2 linked regions of the Struthio camelus genome follow. The protein of the gene in region 1 binds, or shares a complex with, the protein of each later gene. Links are inferred from orthologs where the notes say so. Each region holds a gene or a part of one and is shown in the gene's direction. Other genes may lie near its edges.

Region 1 (10,197 bases):
TCTCTATATAGGTGGAATCGACTCAGTCAAAAAGTTAATGGCCGATAAGAACAACGAACGGGAAGCCTGAAAACAATTCAGCTAAATACATTGGCGAATCTCACTGAAAAAGACAGTTTCTGTTATATATTTACCTTTTAAAAACAGCATGCTTACTCAGCAGAGAGTGACCTAGCAATCAAGTATGTCTCCAAGCATCCTGAGCCCCTGTCAACCTTACCTAATCATAAGGGATCTCAAAAACAATACTTTCAACAAGCTGAAATACCAAGAGTTTTTCATGTCTTTCTGTGACTATTCCTTCTTCAGGTGCTGATGCAAAAGCATCACTGCACTTTCAAACAAACACTTGCAAACTCTTTTTCAAACTCTTGCATGTGACAGAAATATCAGCTAGCCACTGCTGATATTGCTTAACCAAAGGCCATTGCTTAACCAAAGAAAATAAGTACTGTCCCAACATGTAATGCTGGATTTGCTTAAAAAGAACCCAGTAACTGCTGTTGCATAAATGCAGTGGAAGAAAAAATAGCTTATTGTGCAAAACCTCCTCGAGAGTAACTATTTTCTTTAAGCTTCATTTGGCAACCTGAGGCACACAACCCCCGCAAGCGGCTACCCCAGAGCTCGGTGACGGGGCACCCAGGGCCCGACGGTGGGCAAACCGGAGCCGTGGCCGGCCGCTCAGGGCACGGCACGGCACCCCGGGCCCACGACGTCGCAGCCTTAACGGCTCTGGCCCCGAAGAGCCGAGAAGCCTGACCCATCGTGCTCTTCACCCAGCTAACTGGAAGGAGGTTTAAAAATGGCACCGTCAGCCACACGAGCGCCTCAGCCGCCGGGAGGCTGGTTTCAGGCTCCTCACTCGCGACACCGTAGCGAAGTCCAGGCTATTCGGGAGCCCGAGGCGCGAACCGCGAGGGCGGCCGGGGACGGGGCCCGGGGAAGGAGAGGCCCCCGGCCCAGGAAGGGGCAGGGCCGGGCCGGGCCGCGGGACGCCGAGCCCACGCGCGGAGCCGCGGCCCCCCGCGGCAGAAGGGCGGGAGCCCCTGAGGCGGCAGCGACACGCGCCCGGCCGCTCCGTACTCACCCAGCGCGCGGCGCGCAGAACATCACCCGACTTCCAGGAAGCCCCCTCGGGGCGCTGGGCGGCGCGCACCCTTATTGGCTGCGGGCGCCCCACCCCCGCGCGCTATTGGAGGAGAGCTCTCCCCCTCAAGCTTTCATTGGCTGGCTGGCCCGTCGCTCAGACGCTGTTGCCAGGGTTGCTCGCGCACAGGTGTCCGTTGGGCTCCTCCCCCTCCTTCGCCCAGTTGCCCCAGGCGCCATGGAAGGCCGTGGAGGGCCGTGGGCGCCCTTCGTCCCCCCCGGGCTGTGCTGGCCCCACGTCCCTGGCGTCGCCTGCGGGGGGAGGAACGGGGCGCTACAGCTGCCGGTGGGGGTGTTTGGAGCCCGCCAGTGCTGGGGGCTTAGAGGACGTTGCCTTGCGGCATGGCGCCGGGTCCCTGCCCGCCACAGTGGGCGCCCGAGGTGGCGTCTGGCGCTGTGCGGCTGCCCCGGCCTGCTCTCACTGTGCTTTGTTTCAAGGTGTGAAGTAACAATCTCAAAGGGACAAGAGGCCCGATCCGAGCTTCAGAGGGCTCACGTAGCTGAGGACTGTTACGCCCAGGACAGGGTGAGTTTGGATCTAGCTACTGAACCATTTCTGGAACGAGGGCACTGCATGGGGTGTGCGTCCAGGGGACTGCGCTCAGGAGAGGCACAGCTACCAGAAAGGCCATGGAGTCATCGAAGCAGGGCAGCTTTTTTGAGGATGGAGGAAAACACGAGTGACAAAGTCAGCTCTGCTTTCAGTTATTAAGCGCAGCATGATCAGAACTGATAAACCTTTGGTAATTTTACATGGAACAGATTTGAACTGGGATTGGACCAGCCCTACCTCTTTGTCCTTTCGCACTGAAAATACTGACTCAGCTAACTTACAGGTTTTTCAAACAAGATTTCAAACCTTATTTCTGACTTTTTCACAGGTGGCAATAGAGAATTTCAGTGGAGCCTATAAATTTAAAATTCTTTATGGTAAACTCTGTAAGGAAAAAGAGTGATAAAAGCCTTGACTGCTCTTCTGGGTTATAACAATAATATAAAATAAACACAGTACACAAAAGATACGTAACACTAATGCAAATAAAAGACCTCCCCAGGGCTATATGAGTAGGTAACGTGGCTTGCTAGGTAAAAACTCTCATCTCAGACTCAGAAAACCTGAAGTTAATTGTTAGCTTTACCACTGGTCTGTCATATGACATTGAGCAAGTCATCTCAGTACTTTTTCCATCTTCAACATGGGGATGATAACATTGACCTTCATAAGGTCTTTTGAGATCTACTAATGAATGTGCTGGGTAAGTATATTATCATCATTACTGGTACTATTGCTTTTGAAACACAATGATAGATTGTATTTATTATCTACATATACACCAACCTCAATACATATAAAGCAAAAATAGATTTATGTTTTCAGTTACAGAGCTGTTATTTAAAGCAGTTATCTGACTGCAGAAGTAAACAAATTATACAAATCTCTTAATCTCTGATTGATGAAATGCCTGCATGTTAAATGCATAAATAGTTCTTCGCTGTCAAGGAACTGTTACACCACTCTATATCTCACAGCATAGGCTTATCACAGCGACCAGAAATTATTTAACTTCTATGCTTAGTGCCATTAAAAATCCTCAGATTATCATAGGTCTGCATATCTTCAGTAGGAGTTATGTCCCTGGGGAGAGGAAAAATAAAACTGTCTGTCGGCCTGAAACTTAATGCTGTTAGTTTTTACTCATAATAACCTATTTTTAATGTATGTGTGAAGTTAGAATAACTTCAGAGTCATTAAAAAACTTTGTTTTTTTAGGATCCTTCACAAAAGCAAACCACTACAAGGATTTGTGAATACTGGATTTGGTGGCCGTTCAGATTCTTCCTTCTATTTCCTGACTTTTTGTTCTGCCTAACAGACCCTGGTCAATATCGTCCTTCTTTAGACTCCATCTTTGGAGATCTCTGTATAGCTTCCATTGTCCATCAAACTTAAACAGTCTAATCCCAACTGGACAATGGTTCTGTATCCATTTTAATTATCATTAGTGAAGAGACTGGTAGTAGCTAGGAGCGCAGAACCTCTGCTGGAGAAAGCTAAAAAGCAGAGAAAAAGCTCGGAGAAAAGCTTGCAGAATTTTTCGTGGTCTCAAAATTTGAGAGAGAAATAGGCATTGTTTAAAAACCTTGTTCTATCTTGTAAGTGTGTAAATGAATGTATGTGTCACATAGAATGCATAAAACACACCTTAAATGGATTAAATATCTTTTCATTGAGAGCTCTCAAATTGTAGTTGATAAGGGGGAGACAGCAGTGACCCAGGCAGAGCTTTCTAGAAATCAGTTCTTGAGCTGGTAGTGTCCAATAGCTCTATCAATTATCTAGATGGTGACGTGAAATCCTTACAAGTAAAATTTGCAAATGACAAAGCTTAGTATATGAATGGATAATTCACATGACTGATTAGTTACAGAATCATCTGATGTGCCTGATTAAATCATCCCAGTCCAATAAAATTCATTCTAATATTGGAAAATGCAAGCAAATACATCTGGAAATAAAGAATGCAAGTGGATTGCTACTAGCTTGGCAAGGAATAATTCAGAGTAAGAATTTAGCTGTCGCTATATATAAATGTTTCAACATGACCTCTCAGGATAATACTGCGGTAAATTGGACTGATGTAATCCTGTAATGTATAAAATATGGAATATACAAGAGAGAAAGGGGAGTGACATTGCCTTTGTCCAAGCACTGCTAAGAGTAGCATTAGAACACTGTGCCATTTCTGGCATCCACAGCTGAGGAGGAGAAAACACTAGAAATAATTTAAAGGAGGAAAATAAACATAATGAAGGGAGAGATGACGAGATGTAAAACAGCGTTTTAGGAAGGGTCTTAGGAAGCTCAAGTTATTCCACTTATCAAAGAGAAGGCTGAGAGGTGACTTGACCACAATGCATAAAAACCACTGCACAAGAAAAAGCTATCTAAAAGTTAGGTGCTTTTCAGCCTTGGTTCAACACGGAGATCAAAGGGTGAAAAGGTTAAGTTAGCCAAATCCACCAGCGATCCCTGGCCAGAATTATCTGTCCACAGTCCACCGGGTTAGTTAGTTCTCTGTCAACAAGCGTTTTGGACCTAAGTTGCACTCAGCATCTCCCAGTCTACAGCTGGAAAAAGTACAATTTAGTCTCCTAAGAACAGAACTCTCATAGCTGTACTGAAGCCCCTGGGCCTTATGTATTAGTGTGCTGGAGCGTTTAGTGCTGTTGACGCGCAAGTCAAATTAGATGACACAACGGTCCCCGCTGCTTCTGATGAAAACATACCGTCAGCGCAGGGCTCCTGGAGGGAGCGGGCGGCATCCATCCTGGCAGCAGCGGCAGAGCCGCGCGGCCTTCTCAGCCGCGTGCAGGCTGCTCTGTCGGCGCCCTGCCGCGGAGAGTCTCTGCTGCCAGGAGGCGGCTTTGCCTCCCGCAGCTCCTGCCCTTCGCAGCCTGCGGGAAGGTGCCGCGCCCCGCGCAGTGCCGCCCCGCGCGCCGCGGAGGGGGCGGGCCGCGCCGCTCGGACGGACAGCGCCGCTGGCCAATGCCACGCGGAGCGGCCGGCCGCGGCGCGGCGCGGAGCGGAAGGGCACCAATGAGAGTTCGGTTGCTGGGCGCAGCCGGCGAGGACTGCCCAATAGGAAAATTCGCGGCGCGGGAGCCGCGCGTCGGTTCGTGTGCCGGCTGCAGACAGGCAGCGCGAGGCAGGGGCCGGCGGCGGGAGCGTTGGTGGCGTGTGGTCGCGGCCCCGGCGCCCGCTGCGGCCCAGCGCCGGGCCCTGTGGCGACCGAGGAGGGCAGGCCAGGATGCCTCTTCCCTGAGTACTTCTGCCAAACGTGAATGTTGAGGAACGATTAGCGCCCGCTTAATAAAAGAGTTGGAAAGGCGGCCACCAGCGCGGCCCGAGTGGGGAACGCGCCCCCCCCCGCTCCCTGTGGGCCTCCCTCGAGGAAGGCTCAGCCGGGGCAAACTTCGCGGCCGGTTAATTTTTTAATGCCGTTTTTCAGCGTCGCCCTTGGTCGTGTTTTTGAGGGTGGCCTTCGGGGCTGTAGAGAGGAGCGCGCTCCTCAGGAGGTGGCGAGCGGCCAGGCTGGGGCGCAGGAGCGGGGACCCGGAGGCAGGCCTGCAGCAAGCTTGGGTGCTTGGTAGAGAGCGGAAACCGCCCGCGTGGTTTTAGAGTGCAGCTAAAAATAGTAATTAAATAAAAAAAGGTAAATGCAAAAAATGGGTTAATGATTTGCCCCCCCCCCCCCCCCCCGCTCGTTGGATAAAGATGGTCTTGGCTACCCTTTGTAAATAGGGAGGAATGTGGAGGTGGGAGGGGAAAATCAGCCCGGCTCCGTCGACGATGTTGCCTCGGCGGGCAGGGGGGCGGTAGCGGGGCCGGGGCAGCCGGGCGCGGGAGCCGGGCACCCGCCGGGCCGCGCCGCGCTGCACCGCGCCGGGGCGGGAGGGCGGCAGCCGGCGGCGGCACCTCGCAGGGGCGAGGGGAAGGCGAGCGGTTTCGTCGGTGTGCTGCTGAACGATTGCCTAGTGTTTTACTGAAGAGTTTTTCCCCCCCCCTCCTTTTTTGTACACCCGCCTCCTGTGATACCGTGAAGCCAGCAGAAGCAAGGAAAATAAGGGCAGAGGACTAGGAGCAGGCGGAGGAGATGGTGAGCAGCGCGGTGGGCTCGGGGGGATGAATGAGGTTGCCGGGCTGTTTTCTGTGAGAGATCTCGTAGGATGTAAACCACCTTTGGGATGGTTTTGCATCACGATTGCATACTAGCTTTCTTTGTTTGCAAAATGTTGTCGTTTAGGCTTTAACAGCGCTCTTCGGTTTTTTGTGAGGTACGCAACGAGAGGTTGATATGTACGGATGGCTAAAATTACATGCACCAGCGACACACGCATGCTACCACTAAACAAACCTACATTGTCTGTGTTAATCCTGCAATGTGACGGGTAGTTCTTCTCATGTAGGGAAGTCATTGCTCAGGTTATTTGTGGCATGCATAGGAGATGAGTCTCTTTGTAGCAAAGAGCAAACAAAACTAACCTATTCTTCACAAACGTGAAAAGGTTTAAACCTATTACAGTCTTAACAGACAAAGTAAATTTTTCTTGTTTTTTCTTTTCATTTTCCCTGAAGTACTGCTGTGCATGATTAAAATCTAATTAATGTTTGCAAAACTTGAAGAACTCTTTAAAATGTCTAGTTTCGGCATGCAAATAGTAAAGACCCCTTTCTCCCTTATACAGGCAAGTGTTAAAAACGTGGAAGAGGGAATTCTTACATCTGCTTCGTTTTTTACAGTGTACTCTTGTGCCTTAGGTAGGTCAAAATACAAAATTGGATTCTTAGCATTGTAAAAAAAAAAAAACTAAGCTGATTTTCAAGGCAAGCAGGAATTTTGTTTTGATGCTAGTAATATTTAAAATACTAGATAGAAGTTTATGGGGAAAACCCCTATTTTGTATTAATGAGAATGATTTATGGTAAAAATCATGATCCCGAATGACAGAATATTGACATTGACTGATTGTATCTTCCCATGGCTAAAATGCTGCAGCCTGTATTAAGTACATCACCCCTTTAAGCTTCTATGAGTTTAAACATCTTGTTTACAACGTTTTGGAGGACTACATGGCACACTAGTGAAACCTGAAATTCTGATGGCTTTGAAATATCACAAGGCAGTGTAATAAAGATAACTGCAGTTTCATATTTAATCTGCTTTGGAATAAATGATGATTTGTTATATGAAATAATACAGCATATATATGATGACTAAAGTAACTGAAAGGGCTGGATAGTTCATAGTTTCTAGAGGAAAAAATAAGTTGTGAGGTATGCTACACTCCTCAGCATGCAAGATATTTGGATGGATGCGTGTTAAATTTATTTTAAGCAACATCTCTGTAAATGCTTGTCTGAAATATTTAAATTATACGCTCCATTAGGCAAATGGTTTTATCTTTCCATTGCTTGGCTAGAGGAATGTATTGAGAAGGCGAGGTTTAGAGGAACAATACAGTTTGACCGCATAGTTTCACTGCATAGTTTATCCTCGTGTATTGTTCAGAGATGCTTAGATGGTATTTTATCTGACATTGGTTGTCATCGTAGCAAAGTTGACTCTGCTGATCTTATTTTTTTTATTTTTTTATCCTGTAGATGCTCTCAACATGAATAACTGAAATTCAATTAATGTCACTATAGATTTGATCTAATATTTAGACATAATTGATGAAAAACAGTTCCCACCTTTGATTTTCATTCCTTCACTGCAGGGATTTTGAATGGATTTTACTCTTAGCAATTCTTTAGTATTGGAAGGACTGATAGGAGTTAGAAATAAAGAGAAATTCATCCTATATTTAGTTAGGACACTGCACTGGAAATGGCAGAAATCCTCCCTTTACTTATACTTTAAATTTTGTTCAAACCGCAGCTTAGGGATGATATTTTATCCTGAAGGCCATCTGCATGCATATAACAGTTATATAAAGCTGAGCTTCTGTATCAGATTTTATGTAATGCAACACACTATATTTCTGCAGTGTTTTTGATGGATTTTACTTAGTGTCTGAATTGATATACTGTGAGAAAGCCTGTTAGACTTCTTGTACTACCAGATTTATAATTTGTTGCTCTTAATATTTTATTGTGTGAGTATAAATCATTGACACCAGTGTTGTCTCTTGCTTAGCTGTAACGGCATTTGTTTACTACATCTATCTTATGCCTTTCCAGTATAACCAAAATATGACAGTATCTTGTCCAGTGTGAATGCGTTCTGTGACTAGTAGCCATCAAAGCAATCTTCCAAGCAGGAGGTTAGGTCAAATTTTTTACTCTCTTGCCCCTCTCTACAAAAAGAGAAAAAGGTCAGCTCCAGGGTTATACCAACATGCACAGGAAAAGAGTTTCAAATGCATTGGATTCAGTTACAGTATTTTGACTTTATATGAGTCACCTGGAAATTAGCACTGAGCCTTTTTTTTTCCTTTAATTAAAGTGTCCATGTTTTTACAAAATGTGTTCTTTCCATAATACAGAACACTTAGGACACACGTGGAACTAGGCAAACATTGTATGTCCTTCAGAAAAGGGGCATAAAGGCATGATGTTGCTAAAGCGTTAAGGACATGAGCAAGGAGATCTCAACTGTTCTCTTAAATTCCTGATTGGGTATGGTCCATGTGTGTCCTGAATGTGGTTAGCCACATATCTCAGACATTTGAAAAAAGTAGGAACTGACTGCAATATTTTTGATATCTCTCAGCTAATTTGTGTAAAAGAAAGCCAAACCCAACAAACTGTGGCGCAAGTTTTCTTCCCCCATTAGTTCTTTCACTCTTACTCTCACATTTCACAGGCGACCAAAAGTAAACCACAAAGCTACTTCTGGTTCCATATGCTGAGGTTCTAGGGTTCTAGCTCTTCTGGGTTAGCTCTGGCCACGTTCCTTTTAAGTAGTATCCTAGACAAATAACTTGGCTGATTTCAGTGACTCTTGCTCTTTTTGAGTGTCTATTTTTCTGCAGTGTTATAGAACAGGTGGCTCAACTTAGTAAGATCCAGCCTTTTGAAGGTCTGGCAGTCAGCCTTATGGCAGTCACATTTTCAAGAAGTAGCATTTTGGTGTATACGCATGGCTAATCATTTAGTAGTAAGTGGACAGTGTCTATTATTCATCACTAATTTATATACACACTCACGACACAAAGTATCGTTTTAGAGTCCTGATTAGACTCATTGATTGCCATTGTTTTTTCGGTACAGTTTGACATTTTTATCCACCAAAATACGTGCCCCTTTTGGAATGTCAGTTAATCTTAGAAATTAAAAATGTGCAAGAGACCCATTAGGAAAATATGTATGGGTGACATTCCTAAATATTTTAATCTCTCGTAGAGATCACTTCAGTTTAGCTAGTTAGGCCTATATCTAGTCACTAGGCTACAGCGTTCAAAGAACGTGACTGAATATATCTTAACATTTGTCATTACTTGAGGCATACCGATATTGAAACAAACATCTTCTCTGTGAAGATAATGAATCTTAGCTAAGGAACACACCTTGAGGAATTTTTGAATATTGAGTATATTTTTTAAGAGCAAAATTAGGATTGTAGATCACAGGTTCCAGTTGAGCAGCCAGAGAAAGTAATTGTCATCCAGCAGTTGTGTAACGGCTGTTGAAATGAGAGTGGTTGATTGTGGTTTAAGAGTCTGATGGGCAAGTCCTCACAGTCCTTCACTGTGGTTTCGGAGATCTCAAAATTTTGTTGACCCAGGAAAGAAATGATTGTCAGTTTAAGAGGTGGCTCACCCATTTTAGAGGCCAGGTAGGTTTGGGAAGCCTGTAGAGATTCTCTCCCTCCTTCCGTATCTGTATGATCAGAAGTAAATCTTCCATCCTATAAATTTATCATGTTTTTTGGCTATTAATTTACTTACAAATAAATGGAAACTACAAACTGGATGTTACATAATTATTGAGAAGAATGGGACCATATAAAGTAGAGCTTTTACTACAATCTCATAAAGGCTATGGAGAAACCTAATATTGGGAGGTATTCGGAATTATTTTAAGATATTGGATTAGAGAAGTATTTTTCAAAGGAAAATATTGCTTCTCCTCCTAAGCAGAGACTCTTTAATACTTCTTACTGATAGTACTATGTTTTGTACAGCTTTTACAGAAATCAATAATCATCAACAATAACGATAGAAACTCCTGTCATCAGTGATGACAGTCTTTGGTTATAAGTGAGTGATGTGGGTGTTGGTGTCTGTAGCATGAAACTAACTCTGGTGACAGTGCTGGTGGCAGTATTACAAGATATTAAGATTCATTAAGAAAACATGGGAAGACTGGGCTTCTGTGCTTTACTCTCCAGTTTCTATTGCACTGGAAAGATGGTTCTGTGGGTGTTTTTTTTGTTTGTTTTTGAAATGCATGCAGTATGCTGAGTCTCTACAGAGATGGCATCTTTAGATAGTTTAGGATCTTTGCTCTGTAAGGTGCTTGACTGTAGTATCAAAATCTTCTGT
Region 2 (10,697 bases), on another chromosome or scaffold:
CCATCCCCATCCTCATCTCTCTCCCTCCCTGTCACTGTCCATCTCTGTCTCCTGCCGGGCAGAGCCTGGAGCCGCTGGACCCCAGTGAAAAAGCCAACAAGGTGCTGGCCCGCATCTTCAAGGAGACGGAGCTGAAGCGGCTGAAGGTGCTGGGCTCTGGCGTCTTCGGGACCGTGCACAAGGTGAGCCGGGGGCTCGGGGCCGCGGGGGCTCCCCCAGGGATGGGGACGGGCCCTGGCGCTCACCGGGTTCGCCCCCGTCCCGCCAGGGCATCTGGATCCCCGACGGCGACTCCCTCAAGATCCCCGTGAGCATCAAGGTGATCCAGGACTGGAGCGGGCAGCAGTCCTTCCACGCCGTCACCGACGTAAGTGCGGCTGCCCGGGGCGCCGGGGCCGGCCGGCCGCCCTCCCCGGGGCCGGCGGCTGCTGACGGTGCCCCCGCAGCACATGCTGGCCATCGGCAGCCTGGACCATGCCTACATCGTGCGGCTGCTGGGCATCTGCCCCGGCGCCCAGCTGCAGCTGGTGACGCAGCTGCTGCCGCTGGGCTCCCTGCTCGACTACGTCCGCAAGAACCGCGACGGCATCAGCCCCCAGCTGCTGCTCAACTGGTGCGTGCAGGTGGCCAAGGTGAGTCCCCGGGGGGGGGGGAGGTTGGCAGGTGGGGGGCACCCGAGCCCCCGCCGGCCCGCTGACCCCCCGCCCCAGGGCATGTACTACCTGGAGGAGCACCGCATGGTGCACCGCAACCTGGCCGCCCGCAACGTGCTGCTCAAGTCGCCCAGCCAGGCCCAGGTGGCCGATTTCGGCATCGCCGACCTGCTCTACCCCGACGACAAGAAGTATTTCTATAACGAGGTCAAGGTGGGCGCCCGCCGGCAGGCCCCGGGGTGCCATGTCCCCCCCCCACCCTGGGTCCCCGACACCCCCTGTGTCCCGGGGTGCCATGTCCCCTACCTGCTGGGTGTCCCCGACGCCCCCCCGTGCCGCGGGGCGTCCCCTGCCCGCTCCAGGTCCCCGACGCCCCCCCCGCGCCGCGGGGCGTCCCCTGCCCGCTCCGGGTCCCCGACGCCCCCCCCGCGCCGCGGGGCGTCCCCTGCCTGCTCCGGGTCCCCGACACCCCCTGGCCCAGCACCCCCAGCCCAGGTCCTGTCCCTGCCCCCGGCCCCCTGCGCCCCTCGACGCGGCTCCTGCTTTGCAGACGCCCATCAAGTGGATGGCCCTGGAGAGCATCCACTTCGGCAAGTACACGCACCAGAGCGACGTCTGGAGCTACGGTGAGCACGGCCGCGGGCGCCCCGGCCCCACGGCGCTCGCGCGGGGGCTCACGGGCGCCTGTCCCCGCAGGGGTGACGCTCTGGGAGATGATGACCTTCGGGGCAGAGCCCTACGCCGGGATCCGGCTCGCCGAGGTGCCCGACCTGCTGGAGAAGGGCGAGCGGCTCTCGCAGCCCCAGATCTGCACCATCGACGTCTACATGGTCATGGTGAAGTGTGAGTGCGGGGACAGGGCTCCGTCCTGGGGACACGGCTCCGTCCTGGGGACACGGCACCCTCCCTGGGGACACGGCTCCATCCTGGGGACACAGCTCCATCCCAGGGGACATGGCTCCATCCCGGGAGCATGGCTCCGTCCCCGGGAGCCTGGCTCCATCCTGAGGACGTGGCTCCATCCCGGGGGGGACACGGCTCCATCCCAGGGACATAGCCCCATCCCGGGAGCCTGGACCCATCCCAGGGGCACGGCATGGCTTGGTCCCCAGGGCACGGCACGACTCCATCCCAGGGGCACAGCACGGCTCCGTCCCGGGGTCCCGGCTGGGTCCCTGGGGTCCTGGCTCGGTGTCCAGGGTCCCAGCTTGGTGCTGAGTCCCAGCTCAGCCCCCGAGGGCGCATCCCGGCTCGCTCGGTCCGCGGGGTGCCGGCGCCGGGGCTGAGCGGCCGCGCTGCCCGCAGGCTGGATGATCGACGAGAACATCCGTCCCACCTTCAAGGAGCTGGCGAACGAGTTCACCCGCATGGCCCGCGACCCGCCGCGCTACCTGGTGATCAAGGTGAGCGCGGGCCCCCCCAAACCCCCCCCCCGGCCCCGGGGCCGCAGCCCCTAACGCGGCCTCCCGCGGCAGGAGAGCGGGGCCGCGCCGCCCGCCGAGCCCCCCACCCTCAGCGACAAGGAGCTGGACGAGGTGGAGACGCTGGAGCTGGAGGAGGAGGAGCTGGACGCCTCCTTCGGCCTCGCCGCCGGGCTCTACCCCTCGCGGCCGCGGGGCAGCTCTGCCCGGGTGAGACCCCGCGCTGCTCCCTGCCGGGGGTCTGGCCACCCCGGGACTGGATCCCGGGCAGGGGGTGCTGGGTATGGGGCAGGGTGCAGGGCATGGGGCAGGGGGTCCCAGGCACGGTGTGGGGCAGGGTTTGGGGCACAGGGTCCCAGGCATGGTGTGGGGCAGGGGGTCCCGGGCATGGCACAGGGTTTGGGGCAGGGGGTCCCAGGCACGGTGTGGGGCAGGGTTTGGGGCAGGGTTTGGGGCAGGGGGGTCCTGGGCACAGCACAGGGCATGGCATGGGGCAGGGGGTCCTGGGCACGGTGTGGGGCAGGGGGTCCTGGGCACGGTGTGGGGCAGGGGGTCCCGGGCACAGTGTGGGGCAGGGTTTGGGGCAGGGGGGTCCTGGGCACAGCACAGGGCATGGCATGGGGCAGGGGGTCCTGGGCACGGTGTGGGGCAGGGGGTCCTGGGCACAGCACAGGGCATGGCATGGGGCAGGGGGTCCTGGGCACGGTGTGGGGCAGGGTATGGGGCAGGGGGTCCCGGGCACAGCACGGGGCAGGGTTTGGGGGTCCCAGGCCCCAGGCACGTCCGTCCCCCCCCGGCCGGCCTCGTCACCCACCGCCTCTCCCCGCAGAGCCCCAGCCTGCTGAGCCCCCCGGCCGGCTACATCCCCATGAACCAGCCCGGCCTCGGCGGTGGCCGCCAGGTACCGCGGGGCGGCGGGGGGCGCGGGGGGCGGCGGGGGGGGCGGGTCGGCCGAGCCCCCCGTCAGCCCCGTGTCCCCCAGGGCGGCGGGGGCCGGCCGCCGCGGCGCAGCCGGCAGGAGTCGCTGGGGCGGACGGTGTCGGAGTCGTCGGAGGGCCGGGGCACGGCGTCGGAGCTGGACCTGGCCGAGGGGCTGTCGCTCTCGGGGAGCCTCTGCCGCAGCCTGCGCTCGCGGGGCGACAGCGCCTACCTGTCGCAGCGCGAGAGCTTCCCCCCGCCACCCCCCAGCACCGAGGGCAGCGAGGAGGACGCCAACGGCTACGTGGCCCCCAACTGCGCCGCCCGGGGTGAGGGGGCCGGCGCCGAGGGCTGGGGGTCCTGCGCATGCAGGGTCCATCGTTGCGGGGCGGGGGTCCGTCACTGCAGGACAGGGGTCCTGTGCATGCAGGGTGGGGGTCCATCATTGCAGGGTGGGGGTCCTGTGCATGCAGGGTGGGGGTCCGTCATTGCGGGACAGGGGTCCTGTGTATGCAGGTTGGGAGGTCCATCATTGCAGGATGGAGGTCCTGTGCATTCAGGGTCCATCGTTGCGGGGCGGGGGTCCCATGCATGCGGGGTGGGGGTCCGTCATTGCAGGATAGGGGTCCTGTGCATGCAGGGCGGGGGTCCATCATTGCAGGGTGGGGGTCCCATGCATGCGGGGTGGGGGTCCGTCATTGCAGGATAGGGGTCCTGTGCATGCAGGGCGGGGGTCCATCATTGCAGGGTGGGGGTCCCATGCATGCAGGGTGGGGGTCCGTCACTGGAGGATAGGGGTCCTGTGCATGCAGGGCGGGGGGGTCCATCAATGCAGGGTGGGGGTCCTGCACATGCAGGGTCCATCGTTGCAGGGTGGGGAGTCCGTCATTGCAGGATGGGGGGTCCTGTGGATGCAGGGTGGGGGGTCCCATGCATGCAGGGTGGGGAGGGTCTGTCATTACATGGTGGGGGTCCTGTGCATGCAGAATCCATCATTGCGGGGGGATCATTGCTGGGGGGAAATCCATCGTTGCAGGGTGGGGGGTCCGTCATTGGTGGATGGGGTCCTGTGCATGCAGGGTGGGGGGTCCCGTGCATGCAAGGGTGGGGGTCTGCCATTGCAGGGTGGGGAGTCCTGTGCATGCAGGGTTGGGGGGAGGGGTCCATCAGTGCAGGGTGGGGAGTCCTGTGCATACAGGGTGGGGGGTCCATCATTGAACGGCAGGGGGACATTGCTGGGGGGGCTCCGTCATTGCAGGGTGGGGGTCCCGTGCATGCAGGATGGGGGTCTGTCATGGCAGGGTGGGGGTCCATCAGTGCAGGGGGGGTGTCTGTGCATGCAGGGTGGGGGGAGTCTATCAGTGCAGGGTCGGAGGGGGTCTGTGCATGCAGGGTGTGGGGGGGGTCCGTTCTTGCAGGACTGGTGCTGGGGGGCTCCCATCCCCATGGGGCTGGGGGGGGGTCGGGTCCGTCCCAGCAGAGCAGGGGGACAACCCGGGGCGGGGGGGGGCCATTTTGGGGCAGGCTCCAGGGCGGGACGACCCAGCCGGCGTCTCACTCGACGCCCCGCAGAGCCGGAGCCCGCCGGGGGCTCGGCGCCGGAGGAGGAGGAGGAGGAGTACGAGTACATGAACCGGCGCCCCGGGGCCCCCCCCGGCGCCCGGCCGGCTTCCCTGGAGGAGCTGGGCTACGAGTACATGGAGGTGGGCTCGGAGCCGGGCGCCCCGGCGGCCCCCGCGCCCGGCCGCCGGGAGGAAGAGGAGGAGGAGGAAGAGGAGGAGGAGGAAGACTACGAGTACATGAACAAGCAGCCGCGGCTGAGCCGCTCGCTGGGCAGCGTGGCCGGCCCCCGGCACGACGGCTACACCGACATGCGGCCCGGCGAGGCGGCCGAGGAGCAGGGCTACGAGGAGATGGAGGCGGTGCTGGCGCCCCGGCTGGCCCGCTGCCCCGGCCCCCCCGGCCCCCCGACCCCCTTCATGAAGCCCCTGCGGAGCCTGGAGGCCTCGGACTGCGCTTTCGACAACCCCGACTACTGGCACAGCCGCCTCTTCGCCAAGGCGGACGCCCAGCGGACGTAGGGGGTCGTCCCCCCCCCCCAAAAAAAAACCCACCCCGCTCGCCCCCCACCCCAGCCCGTGCGCGCCCGGCACGGGGCACGAGCCCGATGGCCAAGGGGGGGCCCGAAGCGCGGTGGACGGACCCCCCCCCCCCCGTTCCCCGGGGCGGCCCCGCTCCATGCCTCAGTTTCCCCAGGCGGCTCCCGGCGGAGCCCGGCCGCGGGAAAGCCCCGTTTTCCTGGGGTTTGGCGGCAAAGCCGATGCTGTTGCGGGAAGCGCGAAGCCGGGGCGGGGTGGGGGCTGCCTTTTGGGCAGAATCGGCAGGATTTCTGGGCCAGAAGGAAGCCAAAGTCGTTTTCAGGTGTCCCCGTTCCCTGCCGGAGCCGGGATGAAGGTTTGGGGGGGATGTCGGCACCCCCCCACGCAGCGGTGGCAGGCTGGCCGCGCAGGTTTGGGATGCTCCTCGTTAATGAGGGGCCGCCGGCGCGGGTAACGACCCTCCGGAGGCCGCGGGTAGGTGGGGCGGCAGCCCCGCAATCGGGGCCAAAAACATAAAACCCCTGCGATTGTCTCCCCTTCTTTAGCGAAGGCTTTGGAGGGGGACGGGGACGGAGGACGGCGGAGGGGCGCCGTGGGGCCCGCCTGCCCCCCGCCCCGGCTCGGTGCCGCCGCCGCGTGCCCCTGCCCGTCCGTGGGGCCGAGGGTCCCGTCTGTCTGTTAAAAGCTAAATAAAGACAAAGGGAAGTCGAGGAACGGCCGGCGCCTGTGTGGGGCAGGGGCCGTGGGGCAGGGACCAGGGCTGTGGGGCGGGGGGTGGGGATGGGGGCAGGGGGAGGCAATGGGGCTGGGGCTGTGGGGCAGGGGGCTGCGATGGGGCTGGGGGCAGTGACAGGGGCTGGGGCTGTGGGGCAGGGGGAGGTAATGGGGCTGGGGCCATGGGGCAGGGGGACGCAATGGGGCTGGGGGTAGTGACAGGGGCTGGTGCTGTGGGGCAGGGGGCTGCAATGGGGCTGGGGGCAGTGACAGGGGCTGGGGCTGTGGGGCAGGGGGAGGTAGTGGGGCTGGGGCCATGGGGCAGGGGGACACAATGGGGCTGGGGGCAGTGACAGGGGCTGGGGCTGTGGGGCAGGGGGAGATAGTGGGGCTGGGGCCATGGGGCAGGGGGACACAATGGGGCTGGGGGCAGTGACAGGGGCTGGGGCTGTGGGGCAGGGGGAGGTAATGGGGCTGGGGCCATGGGGCAGGGGGACGCAATGGGGCTGGGGCAGTGATAGGGGCTGGTGCTGTGGGGCAGGGGGCTGCCGTGGGGCTGGGGCTGGCAGCAGTGCCTGGGGCCGGCGGTGTGGGGCAGAGGGCCCAGTGCCATGGGGCTGGGGGCAGCGGCCGTGCCGGGGGGGGGGGGGGGGGCTTCCGCTACTCCCCCCCACAACCCCCCCCACACCGCAGGGGGGCGCCCTGCCCTCCCACCCGCCACCCCCCAGACTACACTTCCCAGAATGCCCTCCGCGCCACTTCCGGCCGCGCCGCCCCGCCTCCTCCCCACTCGCTCTCGCGAGAGAGCCGCGGGGCCCGCCGGGAGCTGTAGTCGGCGCGGGCGCGGGCGCGGGGCCCGCCGGGAGCTGTAGTCGCGGGCGGCGGCGGCGGCGGCGCGGGAGGGGGGCGGGGACTCGGCTTCCCAGCGTGCCCCGCGCGGAGCCCGCGCTCCTGCCCTGCTCGCGCTCTCTCGCTCGCGCTCCCCGGGGTCTCCTCAGCGCGGCGGCGGCGGCGGCGGCGGCGGCCGGGAGGGAGGAGGAGGAGGAGGAGGAGGGGGGCGGCGGCGGCGGCGGCCGGGCCTAGGCGGCTCCGACCATGTCGGGCGAGGAGGAGGCGGCCGAGCTCACCATCGCCGAGGACCTGGTGGTGACCAAGTACAAGATGGGGGGGGACATCGCCAACCGTGAGTGCGGGCCGCGGCCGGTGAGGCGGGCGGGCGGGGGGGGCGGGCCTGCCCGGTGGCGGCGGGAGGCGGGGGAGGATGCACCGGGGCCCGGGGTGGGCGGCGAGGCCTAACACCCCCCCCCCAACACACACCCACCCACAGCGGCGGGGGGGGGGCGGCCCAGGAAGGCCCCCCCCCCCCACTCCGGTGCCCACGCGGCGGCCGCTCCCGCACGTGGCCTCCCCGCCCCACGTGCGGCGGCGGCGACCGGGCCGGGCCCGGCGCCCCTCGGCCTCGCCCGCCCTCCCGCCGCCAGCCGGGCGCGTGGCCCGGCCATGTGGGGCCGGCGCCGCCGCTGCCCGCATCCTGCCCCCCCCCACACCCCCCACGTCGGGGCTGCCCCCTTTTTTAAAAAAAAAAATCCTTTCTTTTGTGCCAACGTCCCCGGGAAGCCGCACCGCCGCTTTCACCCCCCCATCTTTTTTATTATTATTATTATTTTTACCCAAAAGCCGGCGGCTTCAACGCCTTTCTTCCGCCGGCTCCTGGGCCTGCAGCCGCCTCAAGCCGGGCGCGGGGGCTCGGCGTGGGCTCGTCAGACGTGTTATGCGTGTTGCAAACTTCGGTCGCCTCGCGTTATTCCAACACCCCCCCCTCCCCTTTTTTAGTTTTTGTTTTAAGCGTTTGTTTTTGCTGTATCATTAAGGGTGGTTAGTTAACCCCCTCGAGAAAAGTGACAGCTGTTTTAAAGAGCTAACTGGACCGGTTTTATGAGGTCCCCGCCGCTCCAGGAGCAGCTTCAGTAGTGGTATACGCCGCACTAATTGTTGCTGACTCCAATGCTTCTTTTTAAGTCATCGCTCTTCATAGTAACTTGGGATGCAGCTCCAGAGAAAGACGTGGTTTTTGAAAGCTGCAGTAATGTTTTAGTTGGTACAAGGGTTGCTAGCTGGTGTTTTCCTGGCCCTATACCTTTTTGCTCTGGGGCGGGGGGGAAAGGTTCCCCCCCTTGGGGAAGGAAGGTCGGTTCTTTGGTTTTTCACTGGCTGTTTGGCAAACCGGATGTAACAGCAAGGTGCAGAGAGGTTATGCCACAGGTTTAGCTACACGGAGGGGACACCCCCGTTCCCGGAGAGGAAAAGTGGATTGATCGCAGCATTTCTCTCTTGGTAGTGTTGTGACTGTGTTTGGGAACATCAAATCCAGAACTGTGACAAAAAGGCTTTCCAGTTCAAAATGTCTTGGGTACTTGTCAGTGTGACGTGCCTTTAATGACATAAAGTGCTTTTAATTCCTAAATGAAGCCCTGTGGAAGGACAGAATACAATTAAGAGATGTTCCTTGGTCAGTGCTGTTACACTCTCTGCTTTTTGGTTTCATTCTAATGCTCTGATGAACACGGCTCTCCATTTATCTTTCTGCTGTGTTTGTTTTGACGTTTTCTATTTTCAACTCTGTGTCCTGCTATCCACTAAATGTCTTTTTTATCACAGTTTTATCTGTACTGTAAAATATTCCGAATTCATAACCATCTATGACGCATGGAAAGATGACTGCTTGAAGTCATTTGAAATTGAATTCAATCATGCAGGTGAAAGATTTTTGGTTTTTACTCTATGTCAAAGAAACTATGAAAAACCATCTGCTTGTAAATGTCTTAAGCACTTCAGAAGTATTTATTGCTGTAGTACCTAGAGCACACACTATCGGTAACAGAAACTCCCAGCAAATAGAGACACTTCCAAAACAGCCTCTTGTAAAAACAGTGCGCTCACAGAGCGAGGAGAAACTGCATGTGTACCTTTTATCCCTGGATCCCAAAACATTTTAGAGGATAAGCTTTAAGACTTGTATCCAGTTTGATAGAGGAAGAAGAGAGGGGAATAGCAGCTAGTCAGCCGGTGACAGAGGCAGTGCCTTGGCTCCTGGCCTGCTGACTGGTAGAAAGGCAGTCAAGACGTATGTGGCTTGCTCCAGCAGCTCCTGGGCCTTCGTGGCTGCTACTCCTAGAATACCATCGCAATGTGTTTATGAATGTGAGCCTGCAGGATTTCAACGCGAGCCGTGGCTTTTACATTCCTTTACCCATTTATACTATAAGGCACGCTGTCTGCTATGGTGTAATCAAAATGCTGATGAGACTCCTAGGCACAAAGCTAGAATACGTCCAAAAGTAGATGCAAGCAACATTCAGGAAACAGGCAGCAAAGCTTTCTTTAACCTCCAGTGCGGAGCAAGGCACGTAAAGCTCCTGATGGCAGAAAGCATGCTGTAAGCTGCTTGTGTTGCCTGGCCTTCGTGACTGAGAGGAGGAGCGTGGGTTACCTTTAAAACGTGCTCCTGCAAAGAGGCTAATGTAACTGGCTTTGCTGTGCTAGTTCTGTGCTGGTGCCAGCTCTTGAGCCAAGCAAAGTCTTTCTGTTGATCTGTACGTTATAGTCCTACACGTCCACAACAGTGCCCCCTGCTCTTTTGATGTGCTGTGTATTTTGTCTCCCAAGTAATTTTCAAACCTGTTTCTGAAGCTCTGACTTCTCTGGAAAGAATGTGGGAGAGTGATGTTTCTGCTTGGCCTCTTTGTTTAAGAGACCTGCGAGCGTATAGATGGGTGTCTGAAACTGCTGCACTTCACCTGTGCAAATCCCAATGTATGTTTGCTTGCTCATGTTTTCTGTGAAAGTGTTCCCGGAAAGTCAGTTCTTAAAACGAAAAATTACAATGGGATTTCTCTTATGTCCTTGGTGAAAAGCTGAGCTAACAGTCTTGTCCCTTTTTAGAAAACAGATGGATATATTTCTTTTTTCACCGTGGGGCTGTGTGATGAGGGTTGCTGTTAGTTTTAAGGCTGTTTATGGTGAACGTACTTCAACAGCTTTTTGTTTGAATTAAGGGGTCCTGCGTGCAGTGGTTGAAGCAGCAAACTCTGGAGCATCAGTTCTCTGCTTGTGTGAAAAGGGAGATGCCATGATCATGGAAGAGACTGGCAAAATTTTCAAGAAGGAAAAAGAAATGAAAAAAGGTGAGGCCTGTTCCAAAGAAACTTTTTCAATATGAGGATATTTTTTGTCCTGTTGTGTTGTTTGGTGGCTGGCATGAATGAGTAGCAGCATGGAAAGCACAGTTCTGCTCTAATTAGCGTAAGAAATACTTCACCATTCCTAGAAAACCAGTTTTGATCCAAATCGTCCTGCTTGCCCTGTTCATAAGCATCACTGATAAGCTTGAGCTTCCCATTTTGATTTACCCAATCATTCACATTGAAATGAGACTTACTTTGGACAACGTCCTCTCTTCAGGAAGACCTGCTATATGGTTATAGTTGGTCTGTAGTTGCCATGGAAATTGTGTGACACTTGAGTGTGTCACTGAAAGCGCCGTGATTTGTGTTCTGGAGAATTGAGGTCCCTTTTGCAAGTGTCTTACTGCCTTGGATGTATTTGTTTTGATGGTTGTCTGGACAAAAAGAAGGCCAGTGTAGGAGCTTGCCGCAAGCTAGATTCCTTATGGCTTTTTGGCTAGAGCCTTAGGTAATGGATGGAGTGTTTTACGATGCTTAAACGACTAAAACCTAAGTGACAAACCACAGTGGCAGGGCTGCTGTCTGTGCCTGTGCAGCGTGTGAGATTGCTAGACTTATGGAATATTTCTTTTTCCCTTTATAGGTATTGCCTTCCCAACGAGTATATCGGTAAATAACTGTGTCTGTCACTTCTCCCCCTTGAAGAGT

Evidence for each region.
Region 2: ARVCF (region 1) and PA2G4 share a complex: the UniProt entries of both Homo sapiens proteins name them as parts of the ribonucleoprotein complex. The link is inferred for Struthio camelus from reciprocal best matches to the Homo sapiens genes ARVCF and PA2G4.

What each region holds. Positions count from the first base shown.
Region 1 is NC_090958.1:11,441,544-11,451,740, reverse strand, and holds the start of ARVCF (splicing regulator ARVCF), read left to right. Parts: upstream 1-5,625; 5' UTR 5,626-5,807; intron 5,808-6,396; exon of another isoform or gene 6,397-6,469; intron 6,470-10,197. Other genes in the region: TANGO2 (transport and Golgi organization protein 2 homolog), read right to left, coding at 4,438-4,473. UniProt on the Homo sapiens protein: Contributes to the regulation of alternative splicing of pre-mRNAs.
Region 2 is NC_090969.1:603,289-613,985, reverse strand, and holds the start of PA2G4 (proliferation-associated protein 2G4), read left to right. Parts: upstream 1-6,715; 5' UTR 6,716-6,900; coding exon 6,901-6,988; intron 6,989-9,860; coding exon 9,861-9,989; intron 9,990-10,632; coding exon 10,633-10,697. Other genes in the region: ERBB3 (receptor tyrosine-protein kinase erbB-3), read left to right, coding at 63-182, 269-367, 447-632, 711-866, 1,204-1,279, 1,350-1,496, 1,959-2,056, 2,129-2,284 and 3 more. UniProt on the Homo sapiens protein: May play a role in a ERBB3-regulated signal transduction pathway. Seems be involved in growth regulation. Acts a corepressor of the androgen receptor (AR) and is regulated by the ERBB3 ligand neuregulin-1/heregulin (HRG).